Linked DNA regions of Caenorhabditis elegans. The protein of the gene in region 1 purifies or fractionates together with the protein of each later gene. This does not show direct contact. Each region holds a gene or a part of one and is shown in the gene's direction. Other genes may lie near its edges.

Region 1 (3,924 bases):
ATGAAAATTCCGCAACAACAACAAAACTTTGGAGTTACAGTACTCTTTAAAGGTGCACGCCTTTTCGTATTTAACAAACTTTTGTCGTGTCGAGACCCGGTACCGTATTTTCGAGAAGACTTTTGTTCCGTATAAAAAGCCTTTTTAAAAATAATTTTAAGTCATTTCTCTAATTTTCAATCAATTATTTCTCGGCTAATTTTTTGTGTAATTTCTTCCATTTTTTAGATATCAGTGCTACTATAAACTTTGCTTTCGCGGCGAGACCCATCCCACTAAGCCTCTGCGCCTTTAGGTAAAAGTTTCAGAAGTTTGCGTTTTAATTAAGCTTTTTCTATTCATCTGAAAGTTGTGCAAATTCTCACTTTTTCTCCCCGTATTTACTTCCACCCCCATAAACTGCCCCTCCTCTTCATTTTCTTCACGTCTCCGTCGTCTCCAGTGGCCTGTGATGGCCTGTGTGCGTATATTATTCCTTTACTTCTCTCTCTCTCTCTCTCGGTCTCCCACACTCTCCGGCCTTTCCGTGTGCAAATGCGTGCGCGAGTGCGCACGACGTGTCTGCGTCTCTCGACGTCTTCTCAGTGTCTGCATCACTGTGCACTCCGGAATGCACACGAACTCTGCTCGCGCCGCTCACAAACGGCGCTCATCGGGTGAGAGATTGTCTTTTTTCTCTCGATCAACTAACTCTCTCTGTGGCTGGGCAGAGTGAGAGAAGACAACAAAACGTTGACGTTTATACCTCGTGTGAGAGCGAGAGTTTTTTGTCTCTTTTTTTCAACTTTTTCACTGAATTTATTAAGCGATTTGGAACATTGTTCGTGTTTTTTGTAGGGAATAAAATATAATTTATGCGCGAACTGCGTAGGTCATGCGCATGAAAAATTAAAGGATTTTGCTTTTTTAGACTCAAAATGCGCTCAAATAAACGAATTTTGTAATGAGACTACTCTTAAATTTCCCGAAATTTTTTATGGAGGCTTCTTTTTTTTAATTCAGACCTCGAAGTTCAAAATTTCGAAAAAACTTGATAATTTTTAAAAATTAGACAAAATTTTCGATTTTTCCAAAAATTTATATGTCGTAGCGGTAGGAAATTAAAATTTTTTCCGACACGAAAAATTGGCAAAGCTAGTTTTCCAGCTGGATTTTAGATAAAAATGCCCAGTTTTATCGATATTTTCAACCGCCATAGGTAAAATTAAACGAAATTCGTTTATTTTGGCACATTTTTACACCAGCAAAAACTGTCACTCCTCTCTCAAAATTTATCAATTTTCCCCGCGGTTATCGCTAAAAGTGAGCAAACCAGCAAGAAATACAGAATTTTCGGTTGTTTTATTTTTTTTTAATTTTTAAAGCAGTTTTTACGCTGAAAACTCTGAAACTTCAACTAAATTTCGACGAAATTCAGTTTTTCCATCTAAAAAAACAAATAAAAAACAAATTCGCAAGCGTGCTCCATTGATAAATTTGCGGAGCGGGAATTTGAATCTAGTTTTTCTTGTTAAATGGTTTTTTTAATCAATTTTGTGATAGTTCTCAAAATTTCACTTTTTCTGTGTATTGGCCCCATTGCCCATTGCTTTGTTCATTTAATGAAGGCATTTTTGCAAATTTTTACCACAAGGAAGCTTTAAAAACTAGAAAAAACGCGGCAAACCACCGATCAGTAAGTGCGCTCCAATGTAAATCGGAGATTTTCTCGTTTTTTAATTTGTTTTTTACGTTAAATCGATGTTTTGTCTACAATTTGAGCGTTTTTCCTGCGTTTTTTTCGGTTAAAAATTGAATAAAATTAAATAAAACCCATTTCAATACATTTTATTCCCGAATCTGATCACTTGTCGACCTACATTGCCATTTACTTTCACTCTCTTCTTATCATAATTTCGATAACCACTGCCTATCTCTTTTACACCATTCCGCGTTAATAAAAACCCTCTCTCTCTCACTCTCTCGCAATAAAAAATCAATATATATATATATACATTTTGCAGAAGCGCCCAGAAATCTCTCTCTCGCCGTCTGCTTCTCTGCTCCCTCCTACACGAAGTTTCAACACTTCGCTCGAACACAACCAGGGCGAGAAGACGTTGAAGAAGATAAATTCTTTTAATCAAAAAAAAAAATGCACGGAAGCGGGCACAGTCTAACGGGCGCTCCGCATCAAATTCCGCCGCCACGGACACAGGGAGCCGCCACCGGTGGCCAACAACTCTCGGCGACAGCTAATCAATTTGTTGATAAAATCGATCCGTTCCATAATAAAAGAGGAACTTCTAGACGATTGTGAGTGGCTGGTTTAATTTATTTTTATCGATTTTTCCCGATATTTTCAGGCGCATCAACAACAGCAGCCGATATAATGTTGATTCGGCTCAAGAACTCGTACAATTGGCGCTCATCAAAGGTGATTTTTTTGGATTTTCTAGATGAAAAACCGAAAAAATTTCGAAGAATTGAGTAAAAAATAGCGAAAAACTCGCATTTTGCCACCCTGCCGCAGATTTTGGCAGTTTTCAGTCGATTCCAGGCAAATATTCAGGGAAAATGTCCAAAAATGCTAATTTTAGTGAAAAAATGTTGAAAAATGCTCGATTGGCCTGAAAATTAGGATAATTTTCGTTGAAAAGTTGGAAAATAGCCTACAATTGTCGGAAATTGTCCCAAAAGTGTGAATTTCGACTTTTATACAAAATTTGTGATTCTTTTTAAAGTTTTTAACGAAAACTTACACTATTTTCAAGTAAATCAACTTTTTTATGTTGTATTTTTACATTATTTCGTGAAAATTTACCTACATCGACGGGAAAACGCGTTAGAAATCGCGAAAATCTTCAAAATAAAGGAATATTTCGATGAAAATCGATTTTCGGTCGCTGCAAATTCGTAAAAATGGAGTTTTTAGTCTTTTTTTTAAAAGATTTTTTGACAAATCGGATAATTTTGAACCCAAAACTAAGAAAATTTGGTCTTTTTGAGCCAAATTTTGAACTAAAATTCTGAAAAACGCCGTCTGAAATCTCTAAAATCTGCAAAAATTGCCGATTTCAAATTTAGCCTTTTTTCAGAATATTTGAGCCGAAATTGTCGGTTTTTTTTTGAGCCGAAATTGTCGGGTTTTTCAGTGAAAATTTGCCGAAAATCCCTGCTAAAACCCCGAAAAAAGGCCTAAATCATCAATTTTTTAAAAGAAATTCAATTGCTGCTGCAAAATTTGAGATTTTCGCCATTTTTATCGAAATTTGAATTTATTTTGAGCCTTTTAAATCAATTTTACCGCTAAAAATCTTTAAAAACTTCAATTTTTCCAGATACTGCTGCAAATGAGCAACCGGCTCTCGTTATCGAAAAGCTCGTCCAATGTCAGCACGTATTCGATTTCTATGATCCAGTAGCTCAACTGAAATGCAAAGAAATCAAAAGAGCAGCTCTAAATGAGCTCATCGATCACATTACATCGACAAAAGGAGCAATTGTTGAGACAATTTATCCGGCTGTCATTAAAATGGTTGCCAAGAATATATTCCGTGTACTTCCACCATCAGAAAATTGTGAATTTGATCCAGAAGAGGATGAACCGACTTTAGAAGTCTCGTGGCCACATTTACAGGTTGGAAATGCAAGAAAAACCCGAAAATGGCTCCAGGAAGCCGAAAAATGACAAAAAAAAATCGAAAAAAAAATGCAATTTTCAGAAAAATAGAGCAAAAAGTGCATTTTTCACTAATTTTTGGTCCAAAAAATTGACTTTTTCGACTGGAAAATTATTAGTTTTCCTTTTGGCAAAAAAAAACCCCGATACATCCTGAAAACATCGAAAATCTGAAAATTATAGCAGAAAACCGCGTTTTTTTGCTCCAATATACCAAAAATAGCCCCAGTGCATCAAAAAATATTGACAAAATGACCTAAAAA
Region 2 (3,924 bases), about 12 Mb from region 1:
TAAGATGAAAATTTTCCAAAATTTAGCAAATTTTTTTTCTGCAAAAAGCTCTTAAAGTCATCTAAAATCTGAAAAATCTGCAAATTTACAAGAATCTAAATTTTAATTTTCGTTTTTTCAATAGATTCAACTATTTTTGAAAAAAAACCTTAAATTTTGGTAATTTTTACTCTTTCTAGAAGAAATATCTGTTTTTTTTCATCAACATAAATAATAATCTGATTAAAAATTGAATTTTGCCGGTAATGAGCTGAAATAATTCAAAATTCGGAATATCTTACATTAAAATTATGAATTTTCAGCTTTTTTTTCTAAAATTAAAATTTTCAAGACTTTTAAGCCATTTTTGAGCATTTTCTGTGATGTTTGAACAGGGATTAATGTTATTTTGAAATAAATTTTTCCATATTTATCACTAATTTTTAATGAAAAATGCTGATTTATTTAACATGGTTTCCCGTCTAAAATTGCGCTGAAATCCCGAATATCTTACATTAAAATTGTGAGCATTCTTTGACTCAATATAAATCGCATCCTTATCATAAATGACACCTCCTAATCCAGAAAACGGAGCATACACTTTCCGCTCTTTCTCATTCAACGCTCGTTTCTTAATCTCATCAGGCAGCGGACACGGATCGGGTAGACTCGTGACATTACTGATCCTCATATCACCAACACCTGGCACATGAATCGACGAATGATTCTTCAAATGAGCACCATGAACCCATCCATACATGGCAATGTGTCGATCGATGAGTGGATCCGTTCGAAGAGTTTCGACGTTGGTAATGTCTTCGAAACGATCACAAAGAACGTATGGATGAGCATCTTTCCACACCATCGGACGGAATTTCATGACAGAAATGAATCTGCAGAGGTTATGGATCTCATTATATTTATACTGTCCATGCATCATTCCAGTCATGTAGAAAAGCTTCGCGCCCTGGTAGAGCTCCGTCCAGAAACGATGTTTCAGAATTTTCTTGGTCTTATTGACACGTGAGATTCCATCGAGAAGATCCAAATGATTCAATACTCCCATAATACGTGGCATTCCGTGCACTTGGCAAATATTTAGAAATTCAAAGGTTTCCATTTCAAATCCATACGATGCATCGACCATTAGAAGCACCAAATCTGCGACTTTCGCGATATCAATCATATGATTAATATCGTTTTTGACCTCAATGAACTGTACACGACGTTTCTTTCCAGTTACAATTGTCACTGGACCATTGATCTCTCCGAATCCATCACGGAGGTAATACTTGACAAGACCCCGGAGAAGTGTCGTTTTTCCGACTTTACTCGGTCCAACGATTGCTACAATGATTGGTGGTGTTTCGATGGGTTTTCTGTCCATCATCAGAACATGTTTCTTCTTTTCATTGAGATCTGCAGCTCGTCGAATCGCTTTTCCAGCGGATACGGCGGAGTGGAAAGTGAAAGCTTTCAGATTGTTTCCCTTGACTCTCGGCTCCTTCTCATTTCGCTTTTTTGCTTTTCCTCCAGTTTTGTGGACTGTAAACGTGAAAAATAGTTAGTAAAAAGCTTGTAATTGACTTACCATTGTGCCCTTTGTTCTTTTGCCCCTCGAACGGAGCTGGCGGCGGCATTTTTGTTACCTAAAATAGTGAAATTAATTATTTATTTGATTAAAAATATTTAAATTTTATTTAATTGAGCAAAAAATCTAACACTTTACGGAAAAATCTTGAGGAAAACGGAAGAAATTATATTTCGTATTAAAAAATAAAATAAATTGGTTGCTGACGCGCACGGCGTGCGCGTCAGTGTCACGAAACGCGCCAGCATTTTTTCCGCGAATTTTTTCGTTTTTCTCCTTTTTTTCTCGTTTTCTATCGATTTTTCATATTTTCAATTGAAATTTATTCGAGAAAATTAATAAAAATGCCCTTTTTAAACACAAAAAATCTAAAAAACACGCTATTTTCCCATTTTCAGACTTTTGTAATGGACTTATTGGATATGGAGCTCGACCTCGGCGTCGAGCCCACTTCTAGCCGCATCACGCGTAGATCACAAGCCGCCACTTCAGTTACATCACAAACACCAAAAACTTTGGGAAGAAAAAAACAAACGACCACGCCAGCGAAAATCGAAAGTTCTACTGCTTCTGCTGCTAAAAATCCAGTAAAAGAGGAAGAAATTGTTCATTCAAAGCCGGAGAGGTCTCTAATAATTCAAATTCTTATATTTTTCCAACATTTTAGTTTCAGAACGCCGAAAAGATCACCAAGATCCCCATCTACCGAGAAACGTGAGAAGCGTAACAAGGCCAAGAAGAGATTCTCACCATCGCCAGTCACCAAGAAGCGCAAATCAATTCTCACTCCTCGTCCAGCAGTTTCCAACGACGCTACTTCAATTCCCGCCAGAAAGATCAAAATCGCCTCCCAAGCAGAGTTCACCGAGAGTCTTAATCAGTTCAAAGTGGCGCTAGAGGGCCGTGGGATCACTGATTTCGATATTCCAGAAGACTGGAAGACCCCGACGCCTTCCGACACTGTTAATCAGATCATTACCGAGCGTAAGAAGAACCTTTTGTGTCACGGCCTCCTGGAGTGTTCATAATTATTCGAGCGCGCTCGCGCGGCACCTCATGATCTACAGAATTCGCGGGAATTCGTTCCGCGGGGACAGCAGTTGTTGCTATTTTTGGCTTCTATAGGAAATATTTTTGATTTTTTGTTTTATAATATTCTTGAGAAGCATCTTCCGAATTGAAAATGTGTAAAATTATGAAATTTGGCCGAAAACTGGAAGTTTTACAGAAGGAAGCCACTACAGTTTTTAAAAAAATGTATCAGGATCGCCAGTTTTGCGATTTATGCGTCGTAAAATATGTCATTTTGTAGAGAATTAAAAGTTTCATAAGAATTTTCGTTTGAAATTTTAAAATTGTTTTCATTAAAAACTTAAAATTGAAGGAATAAGATTTTAACCTAAAATTGTTGATTTTTTGAATATTTTTTTATTAGAAATTAAAGAATTAAAATTTCAAACGAAAGTTCTTATGAAACTTTTTAATTCTCTACAAAATGACATATTTTACGACGCATAAATCGTAAAACTGGCAATCCTGATACATTTTTTTAAAAACTGTAGTGGCTTCCTTCTGTAAAACTTTCAGTTTTCGGCCAAATTTCAGAATTTTACACATTTTCAATTCGGATGATGCTTCTCAAGAATATTATAAAACAAAAAATCAAAAATATTTTCTATAGAAGCCAAAAATAGCAAAAAACTGATGTCCACGCGGAACGAGTTCCCGCAAATTCTGGAGTTCGTGAGGTGTGCAGCGCGAGCGCGCTCTAATAATTATGAACACTCCAGGAGGCCGTGTGTGAGTGTATGTGCCTAATCATGTACCTTTTCAGTCTCCGGAACCCTCCCTAACATCAGTGATTCTTCTTCGGCAGCAGCTCCTCCTGTAATGGTTTAATTACTTTTTTAAAACACACATATTTGTTTCCTCTAAAATATCGAAAAACCAATACCACACCATGTCATTGCCCCCATTCCCCCCTCCCCGTTCGCTAATAAATGATAGTTCAAAGGTCTCACCACGAAGTCTATTTTAATAATGTTTGAATTTTGAAAAAATTGATCTTAATTTCAAAGTAATTATTTTTTTCAACAAAGACTTCTGATTTCGCGGCGAGGCCTAGGCAATTAAATAATTAATTTAATTTTTAAAAAAAATTAATTTCTAAATTTTCAGCCAGACACCATGAAACCCGGCAGGAAATCTCTTCCGAAGAAGAATCGAGCATCCAATATCACTGAAAAGTGCGTTTGAATTGGCCAAGGAAAACTTAAAAATCCGAGACAGACGCAGACAGTCGTACAATTTCTCCATGCCGCGCGCAACGGCATTCCTATAAATATTTTTCATTA

What was found.
Region 2: the proteins of pptr-1 (region 1) and F54D11.4 fractionate together in Caenorhabditis elegans (co-fractionation; one large-scale study listed by BioGRID). This does not show direct contact.

What each region holds. Positions count from the first base shown.
Region 1 is NC_003283.11:16,355,518-16,359,441, forward strand, and holds the start of pptr-1 (Serine/threonine-protein phosphatase 2A regulatory subunit pptr-1), read left to right. Parts: upstream 1-2,003; 5' UTR 2,004-2,134; coding exon 2,135-2,295; intron 2,296-2,345; coding exon 2,346-2,416; intron 2,417-3,320; coding exon 3,321-3,619; intron 3,620-3,924. UniProt on the Caenorhabditis elegans protein: Probable regulatory subunit of serine/threonine-protein phosphatase let-92 which negatively regulates the insulin receptor signaling cascade composed of daf-2, age-1, akt-1, akt-2 and sgk-1 by promoting the dephosphorylation of akt-1 on 'Thr-350'.
Region 2 is NC_003283.11:4,614,190-4,618,113, forward strand, and holds F54D11.4 (DEK_C domain-containing protein), read left to right. Parts: upstream 1-1,961; 5' UTR 1,962-1,977; coding exon 1,978-2,195; intron 2,196-2,243; coding exon 2,244-2,554; intron 2,555-3,404; coding exon 3,405-3,469; 3' UTR 3,470-3,588; downstream 3,589-3,924. Other genes in the region: Y61A9LA.10 (Bms1-type G domain-containing protein), read right to left, coding at 494-1,524, 1,571-1,619; Protein sumv-2, read left to right, coding at 3,758-3,816.